2 linked regions of the Notamacropus eugenii genome follow. The protein of the gene in region 1 binds, or shares a complex with, the protein of each later gene. Links are inferred from orthologs where the notes say so. Each region holds a gene or a part of one and is shown on either strand. Other genes may lie near its edges. The genes, in order: HERPUD1 and UBE2J1.

Region 1 (3,910 bases):
TCAGACCTGTGCTTTAGGAATATGAATTTGGCAACTGTTTGGAGGAAAGAACTCTGTCAGCAAATCTTTAAAATCAGGTAGTCTTATCCTGAAGATGGTGACTTTGTTTCTTAAATATTTTGATAACTGTGTTTCAATATAATTTATTTCCATTGCAATTTTATGTATTTTATTTTATGTATTTAAAAACGTGATTCTGACAAGAGATCTATAGTGTTTACAAGACTGCTAAACAGGTCCATGACATGCACACACAAAGGTTAAGAAACCCTGTTTCAAAGAATGGTATTCCTAGATTAAGACCATTCAGATGTAGTGGAAAACACCCATTAATTTGGGATTTGGAATCTGGGTTTGAATCACTACTCTACCATAAGAATCTCAGAGGCTCTCTAGTTCAACACACTCATTTTACAGGTGAGAAAGCTGTGAAGCCTAGGAAGGTTGAGTGATCTGATGAGGTCATGTAGATAATATACAAGTGGCAAATCCAGCTAAAAACCAGGGTCTCCAAGGTCACCCTACTTAACTCCTTGTGCAGTTTTGGTCAAATTACTTCCCCTCACTTTGTTTCTGCCTCTTTGAAATGAGATGATTCCTAAGATCCTTCCAAGGTCTAAATTCTCCTATACTATGACTTTGGGATTTCTTAAGACCGGCATAGCCTTTGTCTTTTCTGACACACTAGCCCTTGAAGGCCTGTGGGCTGAACCACCAAGTTCAATCTGACGTCATAAACGTTTGTCAAGCACCAGGTATGAGTAAAGCACCGCAAGGCTCTGGATTGACAAAGACAACGAAGTCACAAGGAGCTAACTAACATCTATCTACACAGATAACATATACTAGAAGGTAGGAAGTAACCGTGTCAAAGTAGGGATCCAGATAAAAATGCTTTATGAACATGTGAGGAAATTTGCCAAAAAATCAGACAGAAGGGTTTTGAAACAAAGGGCAAAGGTATCATCTAAGGCAGGTCGGGGGATCGTCTGTGGTCAGGGGGCTGGCAGGGCAAGGATTATGCATTATGACGAAACCATTCAAAGAGATTTCGAGGCTGTGGACGCAGGCTGGGATACTGGCCATGGTCACTTCAGAGTTCAGCCGCCTGATGGGACGAGGTTCAAGGAAAACCAGCCTCAACGCCCCTGAGCCCCAAGTCCCAGTCCTAAGCCTCACTGTGCTCCAGGGTGACGCAACTCCAGGCTCTTGCATCAGTCTGTCCTCAGAGTTCCTCTCGGCCCCGCCCTACTTGGTCCAGCGGCTAGGAACAGCAGCCCAGCTTCTCTTCCCCATTCGTGGATCTGCGCTCCGATTGGGCCACGTTGGGGCTGACCCTCGGCTTCAGCCAATAGACTTCAGCCACAGTGTATCCAGTGTATTCGTTCGCAGAGGCGGGGAGGGGCTGCCCATAAAAGGCGGCTGGGTTGGGGTCGCGCGCACCAGAGCAGGAAACTGTCGTTCGTTCGGCTGTTTGTCTCAGGCTAGGGTGGGAGCAGAGGCGGCGGCACCGCCCTCTAGTCTGTCCGCTCAGGCCGCTGCGGGCCGAGCCGAGCCTTGGGAACCCAGAAGACATGGAGCCCGAGCCTGTGACCCTCTTGGTGAAGAGCCCCAACCAGCGGCACCGGGACCTGGAGCTGAGCGGGGACCTGAACTGGAGCGTGGGCCGCCTCAAGGCTCACCTGAGCCGCGTCTACCCCGAGCGACCGGTGAGGCCGGGGGACATGGCCCAGCTTGCTTCCCTGCGCTCTCGGCCTGGCCTGGCCTCTGCGCCGCTCCCAAGGGGCGATTCAGAGCTGAGGGGGTGGGGGGAACCTTAGAGATCGGCTAGGCCTCTCCCCGATTCTGCAGCAGCTGTCACCTGTTTCTGCTGTTCCTCTTCCCCCCGCCGTCCTCCCCCACCCCCACCCGCCCCTTTCCCTCTGGTCAGCAACTGTCCCCTGCCTTCTTGTCCATTTGTCACCGAGTCCCCCCGCCGCGCCTTGCCCGCAATTCCCTTTCCTCCTCTCTGCTGCTCGCTAACTCCCTTCCTGTCACCCCTTCCCCGCCTTCATGTCTCCCAACTTCCATGCCTGTCTTCCTCCACAATTCCCCCACCTCCGAAGATCTGTGTTTTCTCACCAGGTCTCCTCCTTGCTGTCGGCCTCTACCGCCTCCTCTTCCTCTCCTCCATCTCCTCGCTCCAGTCCACTTCCCTTAACTCTTCCATTCCCTCCCCCTCACAATTCTCATCTGCTTCCCTCTTAACTCCCTGCAGTTCCTCATCCTCCTGGAGTCTGTCCTTTCCAGTAACCTCTCCACCTAGATGTCCTTCAGTCTCTCTCCCTCCCACCCATCCACCCAATCCACCTCTCACCCTAGTTCTTCATCCTCCATCTGCCTCAGCCCACTTGTCCGCCTTTCTCCAACCCAAATCTTTCCCTGTTCCACCCCCACGGAGCGGAAACAGTACTAGAGGAATGGGGGTGGGGTGGGGGCAGAAAAGCAGGGAATCCAGGAGCCTGGGTTTCTGGTTCCAGTTCTGCCCCAGGACTCTGTGACCTTGAGCTTCACCCTTCTTTGACCTCAGTTTTTTCCCGAGTAAAAGAAGTGGCTGGATTAGATGTTCTCCAATGTCCTCAACATAGTTCTTTAAAAAATTATAAAGTTTCTTAATGTTCTTTGTGTCATCTGTTACATAATTGTGTCTGCAAATTTATAGACAAACAGTGGGCAGGTCTCCAAATCCTTTTCAGTGTTAACACTGACTTGTCTTCATCCTTCTCAGTATTGATACTATGACAATCCTGGGTTTACCCTCACTGGGAAAGACTTGGCTTGAAAAGTCTGCTCTCCTCTCTCCCACCTTCCTTTCTCCTGGCTCCTTATTCCAGTTGCTGTGTACCTAGCTAGGTCCTTGTTCTTGCTGGTACAGAGGCATTTTCTTGTTTGGGTGGTTATCTGAGATGAACTCTTTCTGAAGCAATGGGACTTTGTGCCATGATGGCAGTGTCTTCTCTTGTTTGGGTGTGTTGTCAACCTTTCCTTTTATCTGAAGCCCTTCCTCCCTCATGTGATCATGTATGAGTTGTTGGAGCCTTTGTTTATTTACCCTGTGGCCTTATGTAATAGGCAATAGTAGTGTTTGCTTCCAATTATATAATTCTTAATTATGGGGAGCAAAAAGAACCAAGGTGGCAGGAAAGGATTACAGAATATCTGTTTTAGAAACTGTTACAGCACAATACATTCAATTTTATTTAAAGTTAAGAAGAAAGAAGTTAAAACTTTCTGAAACTTAAGAACATCTGGGTAGTTATTTTTTCCTTTGCTTTAATGCAGTTACTTTCTTTCCAGGCTTCAAGATTTAGTTTGGCTTATTGTTCAAAATCGTTTGCCATTTTTTGTTTTGTAAGAAAACATTCGATTTTGTGATTTTGTTAAATATATTAATTAGTGACATAGAGTAATGATAGGTAAGGTAAAGCCACAAGAATTTATTAAATACTCCATGCTCTATGCCAGGTACTGTTTTGAGCTGGTATTTATGGAACTTTCAAGTTTATAAATGCCTGAAACTCCTACTGCATTGCTTAGGTGACTCTGGGTTCTTGAAGGCTTAGTCAACAAAGCACAACCTCTTGAGAGTCTCTGCCAGAAAAGACTTGGAGGAGAGTCCCAGCAACAGATTATGTCAGTTTTCTGGCACAGCTCAGCCACTCGAGACTCATTTCATCCCCAGAAGGCGGACTCCTGGATGAGAAATTCTTTGGTCATAGTAGCCTGTAAACATCAAAATACAAAATGGTGCTCAGTTTTCTGAGTTTCCTGAAACCAACTTTCATATCTGGAATGGCAGAAAAAAGGGGGAGAGGAAAGAAGAATCCTAAGAATTAATAGTTTTTTAGAACATTTATAGGTTTTAATGTAT
Region 2 (3,910 bases), on another chromosome or scaffold:
AAATCTATAAAATTATATATATATATAATGTTACATTATATGTATAAATATATAAACATTATATTAACATATATAAATTATATATATATATGAAACAATAAGAGCTAACATTTATATAGTGCTTACTATGTGCCAGGCACTATGTTAAACACTTTGCAAATATTATCTCATTTGATCTTTACAACAACCCTGAGAGATAGGTGCCATTATTATACCCATTTTGTTGTTGTTGGTCTGACTCTGTGACTCCATTTAGGGTTTTCTTGGCAAAAAGACTGGAGTGGTTTGTCATTTTCTTCACCAGCCCATTTTACAGATGAGGAAACTGAGGCAAACAGGTTTAAGTGACTTTCTCAGGGTCACACAGCTAGTAAATGTCTGAGGCTGGATTTGAAGTCATTAAGAGGAATCTTCCTGACTCTAGGGCCAGCACTCTTCTCATCTAGCTGCCTCTACTTTACCCCCCAACCTCCAGAAGCCATTTAAATCTTTTTGACTGATAGCTTTTGTTACTGTCACCTACATTCTTCACATATCCCCCTCCCAGAGGGCTATCCTTCACGGTAAATTCTATAAAACTAACCAACGCACCCAAAGTCCCATGTTCTATGCAATTGGACGCAGTCACAGTCTCCCACTTAGCACAGTGCCTGGTACATGGTATAAATGTCTGTTGATTTCCGCCTCCCTTCTTTGGGGTCAAGCTTGGTCCTACTTCTCAGCATTCAGTTTCCATCCATTTTTCTTTGTGCTATTTACATAGCTGTTGCTACTTAATCTCTGGTCAGTTTCCTCATCTATGAAACAAAAAGTGTCAGCTTCCATGAAGGGTTCGTAAAATCTGGTTTCAAGGGCCAAAAAAATAAATTCATCTTCATTTCAATAACCTGTTTTCCGCTGTAATTCCATATGCCTTATTTTATATTATATAAAACCATTATTTGGAGAATGGGTCTATAGGCTTCATTCACCACAGGGCCAAAGAAAGAAGGTTTGGCGAACGCGCCTCCCTTTAGTTACTATGTTACCTCGGGCGTGTCACTTTCCCTCCTCTGGACCTCAGTTTCCTCCCTCGCACAGTGAGGGGCGGGGTGGGTGGGTTAGACTCTACCGAGGACGGATCTCGGACTAGCCCGACCGAGTCTCCCTGGCCTGCAGCGAGCGCGGGAGGCGGCCCGGAAGCGTGACCACGTCGGGCCCACGGCCCGCCACGAAGTGACTGCCACGTCAGGATAACTTCACAAACCGAGCGCGGGGCAGGGAGCGCGACACCCGGCCCCGCATTGGGGGCGACGGGGGCGGGCGGGCACGGCGGCGGGACAACGGAAGCTCAGGCCGCGGCCCCACCCCCGGCTCTCCAAGCCTGCGACGGCCCGCAAGGGCCGGGCCTCCAGGCGGGGGCCGGGCGGGGCGGAGACGCAGGGCGGGACACTAGCCGGGCGGGCCCGGCGCAGGCAGCGAGGCGGATCCCCAGGAGGCGGAGCGGAAGGAGGCGGTGGCGGCGCGCGGAAGGAGGCGTTGGCGCGGCGGGCGGAGCGCAGGCAGGGAGGCGGAGCCACAGTCCCCGCCGCCGTCGCCGCCGCCAACGCTGCGTATCCCTGGCGCTCGCTGGGGCCGCCGGGGGCGGGGACTGGGGGACGCGGCTTCCCCGGCTCAGGAAATCCCCGGGGCCGGAGCCGGGGCCAGCAGCCCGTCGCGGAGCCGGGGAGCAGGAGGCGGTGGCGGGGCCGGAGCGGGACGGCAAAGCCACCATGGAGACCCGCTACAACCTCAAGAGCCCAGGTAGGGAAGGAAGCAGCCGCTCCCCTCCATCTCCCAGCACGCATGCGCGGGCGGACGGACGGACAGACGGACTGGCAGCCGGGGAGGCCTTGGGCCGCCGCCCCGCCACCTGTCACCGCCCGAGGGCCCCCTTCCTTACTCTAGTCGGATGTCCGGCCTGTCCTGGGCATGACCCCTCGGAGTCACCCGGGACCCGGGGAGCCGTCCGCTCGTCCACTGGCCGGCCCAGCCCGAGCTTATGGAGAGAGGGCCCTGCCTCCACCTCCCGACCTCGGCCTCACCCCACTTGGCCTTCTCCATTTCTTTTTCCTCTCCTCCTCATCCTTTTTAAAGGGGCGGCACCCTAGAGGCCGCAGGACACTGTGGGACCCCCCCGCAGGGCGCCCGCGCCGCCTCCTCGGGCTGCTGCCCTCGGACTGGACACTTCCCGGGCAACTTGGCCGCCCCGCCTTCTTGGCCGTGGTCGGGGGTGCTGGTCCGTGTGCGCGCTGGACGAGGCGTCTGCGGGGAAGTGCGGGAGAGACGGGAGAGGGGTCTGTGGCAGGTCTGGACCTGGACCCGCTCCCCAAGGAGAGCGCCTTGGTGAGGAGGAAGTCGGAGGACCCCTTGTGCCCTTGTGCAGCTCCCTTACTCTGCCCGGACCTCAGTGCCCTCCGCTGTAAAATAGTGGCGTTTCAGCAGGAGAACCCCAAAGGTCGCCTCCATCCCCCAAAGCTGTGATCCCCTGAAGATGTGGAGCTTGGAGCACCTACTGCCTGGGTGACCTTGGGGAGCTCACCTATCCTTTCTGGGTTTTAGTTTCCTCGTCTGTAAAACGAGGGAGTTGACCTAGATCTAGGATTCTTAAGCCGGAGTCGGATAGATTTTTTGTTTTGAAGTGGGGCTGGGTCTTAGGAACTTGGATGGGGAAACACATTGTCTATATTTTCACAAACTTTTGACTGAAATACAGTATTTCCTTCAATTATTTAAAAGGAGTCCATGACACAGAAAAGATTAAAAACTCCTGTTTTTAGAGTCATTTTCAGCTCTTAAATATTCCTTTGGTCTTACGTTGTTAGAGTCCACCACGGTTTTTCAACTTGAAAGCTTTTACTCATAGCATTTTCTAATAGATTATCTTTAGGTATTTGCCTTCCAACCCTGTCTGTGAAGTGAGTAGTGTGACTATATACATATATATAAGCTGGATGAATCCTAAGGTCCTATTAAACCCTGAAACCTTATAGGTCATCTATTTCATGCTACTTCATATGTTTGTTGTTGTGTTTGTACTTCATATATGTACATATTTTACATATGTGTATGTAGCTGTATTTATCTACCTGTCTACCTACCTACCCTTGGGATAAAGGATAATTGGGTTCCTGTCCTGTATTGAACACATCCTGGCTGTGGGATTCTCTAGGAGTGACCTAATCTCAAATACTGATACTGTAAGTTGCAGATCAGGTGTCTGCAGTTTTAGAGGGAATTTCCTCATCTGCAGTTGGAAACCATAGCTCCAGACTGTCCTGACCCTCAAACATATCAATCCATATCCAGTGTTTGAGAATGAGGGGGAAGTGGAAAAAGTCCACTGATAAGAATCAGTGAACAGGCACTTAAGTGCCCACTATGCCAGGCACTGTTCAAAGCCAAGATAAACAATGGAGTTTACATGTTAGCACTGTAGCTCACATGATAGTGATTATTATTCATGTACAGTGCTTTGAGGTTTTCAAAATGTTTTATACACATTATCTCGTTTAATCATCATGTTTACTCTGTTAGGTAAGTGCAACAATTATTCCATTTTTATAGATGAGGATACTGAGGTTCAGAGAGGTTAAGGTGATTTGCCCAGGGTCAAAGGTATTGTGTCTCAGAGTCAAGAGTTAAGTCTCAGAGTCTTCCTGACTCTAAGGCAGGTTCTCTTATAATATCTCTCAGTATAAATTTACCTTTTTAACAGATGAGGAAGGAGAGACCCAGAAAAATGAAATCTCTTATGGTCATATAGCTCTTAGGCCCTGACTTGAAACAGGAACCCAAAATTCTAAACTGCCAAGTCCAGAATTATTTCCACTGCAGAGTGCCTCCTGTGTAACTACATACATACCTATGTAGGCTCCCTTCATCAGGGGAG

What was found.
Region 2: HERPUD1 (region 1) and UBE2J1 share a complex: the UniProt entries of both Homo sapiens proteins name them as parts of the HRD1 complex. The link is inferred for Notamacropus eugenii from reciprocal best matches to the Homo sapiens genes HERPUD1 and UBE2J1.

Annotation. Positions count from the first base shown.
Region 1 is NC_092872.1:474,463,747-474,467,656, forward strand, and holds the start of HERPUD1 (homocysteine-responsive endoplasmic reticulum-resident ubiquitin-like domain member 1 protein), read left to right. Parts: upstream 1-1,364; 5' UTR 1,365-1,574; coding exon 1,575-1,709; exon of another isoform or gene 1,710-1,796; intron 1,797-2,121; exon of another isoform or gene 2,122-2,222; intron 2,223-2,490; exon of another isoform or gene 2,491-3,910. UniProt on the Homo sapiens protein: Component of the endoplasmic reticulum quality control (ERQC) system also called ER-associated degradation (ERAD) involved in ubiquitin-dependent degradation of misfolded endoplasmic reticulum proteins.
Region 2 is NC_092873.1:163,063,859-163,067,768, reverse strand, and holds the start of UBE2J1 (ubiquitin-conjugating enzyme E2 J1), read left to right. Parts: upstream 1-1,196; 5' UTR 1,197-1,751; coding exon 1,752-1,782; intron 1,783-3,910. UniProt on the Homo sapiens protein: Catalyzes the covalent attachment of ubiquitin to other proteins. Functions in the selective degradation of misfolded membrane proteins from the endoplasmic reticulum (ERAD) and is essential for cells to recover from ER stress.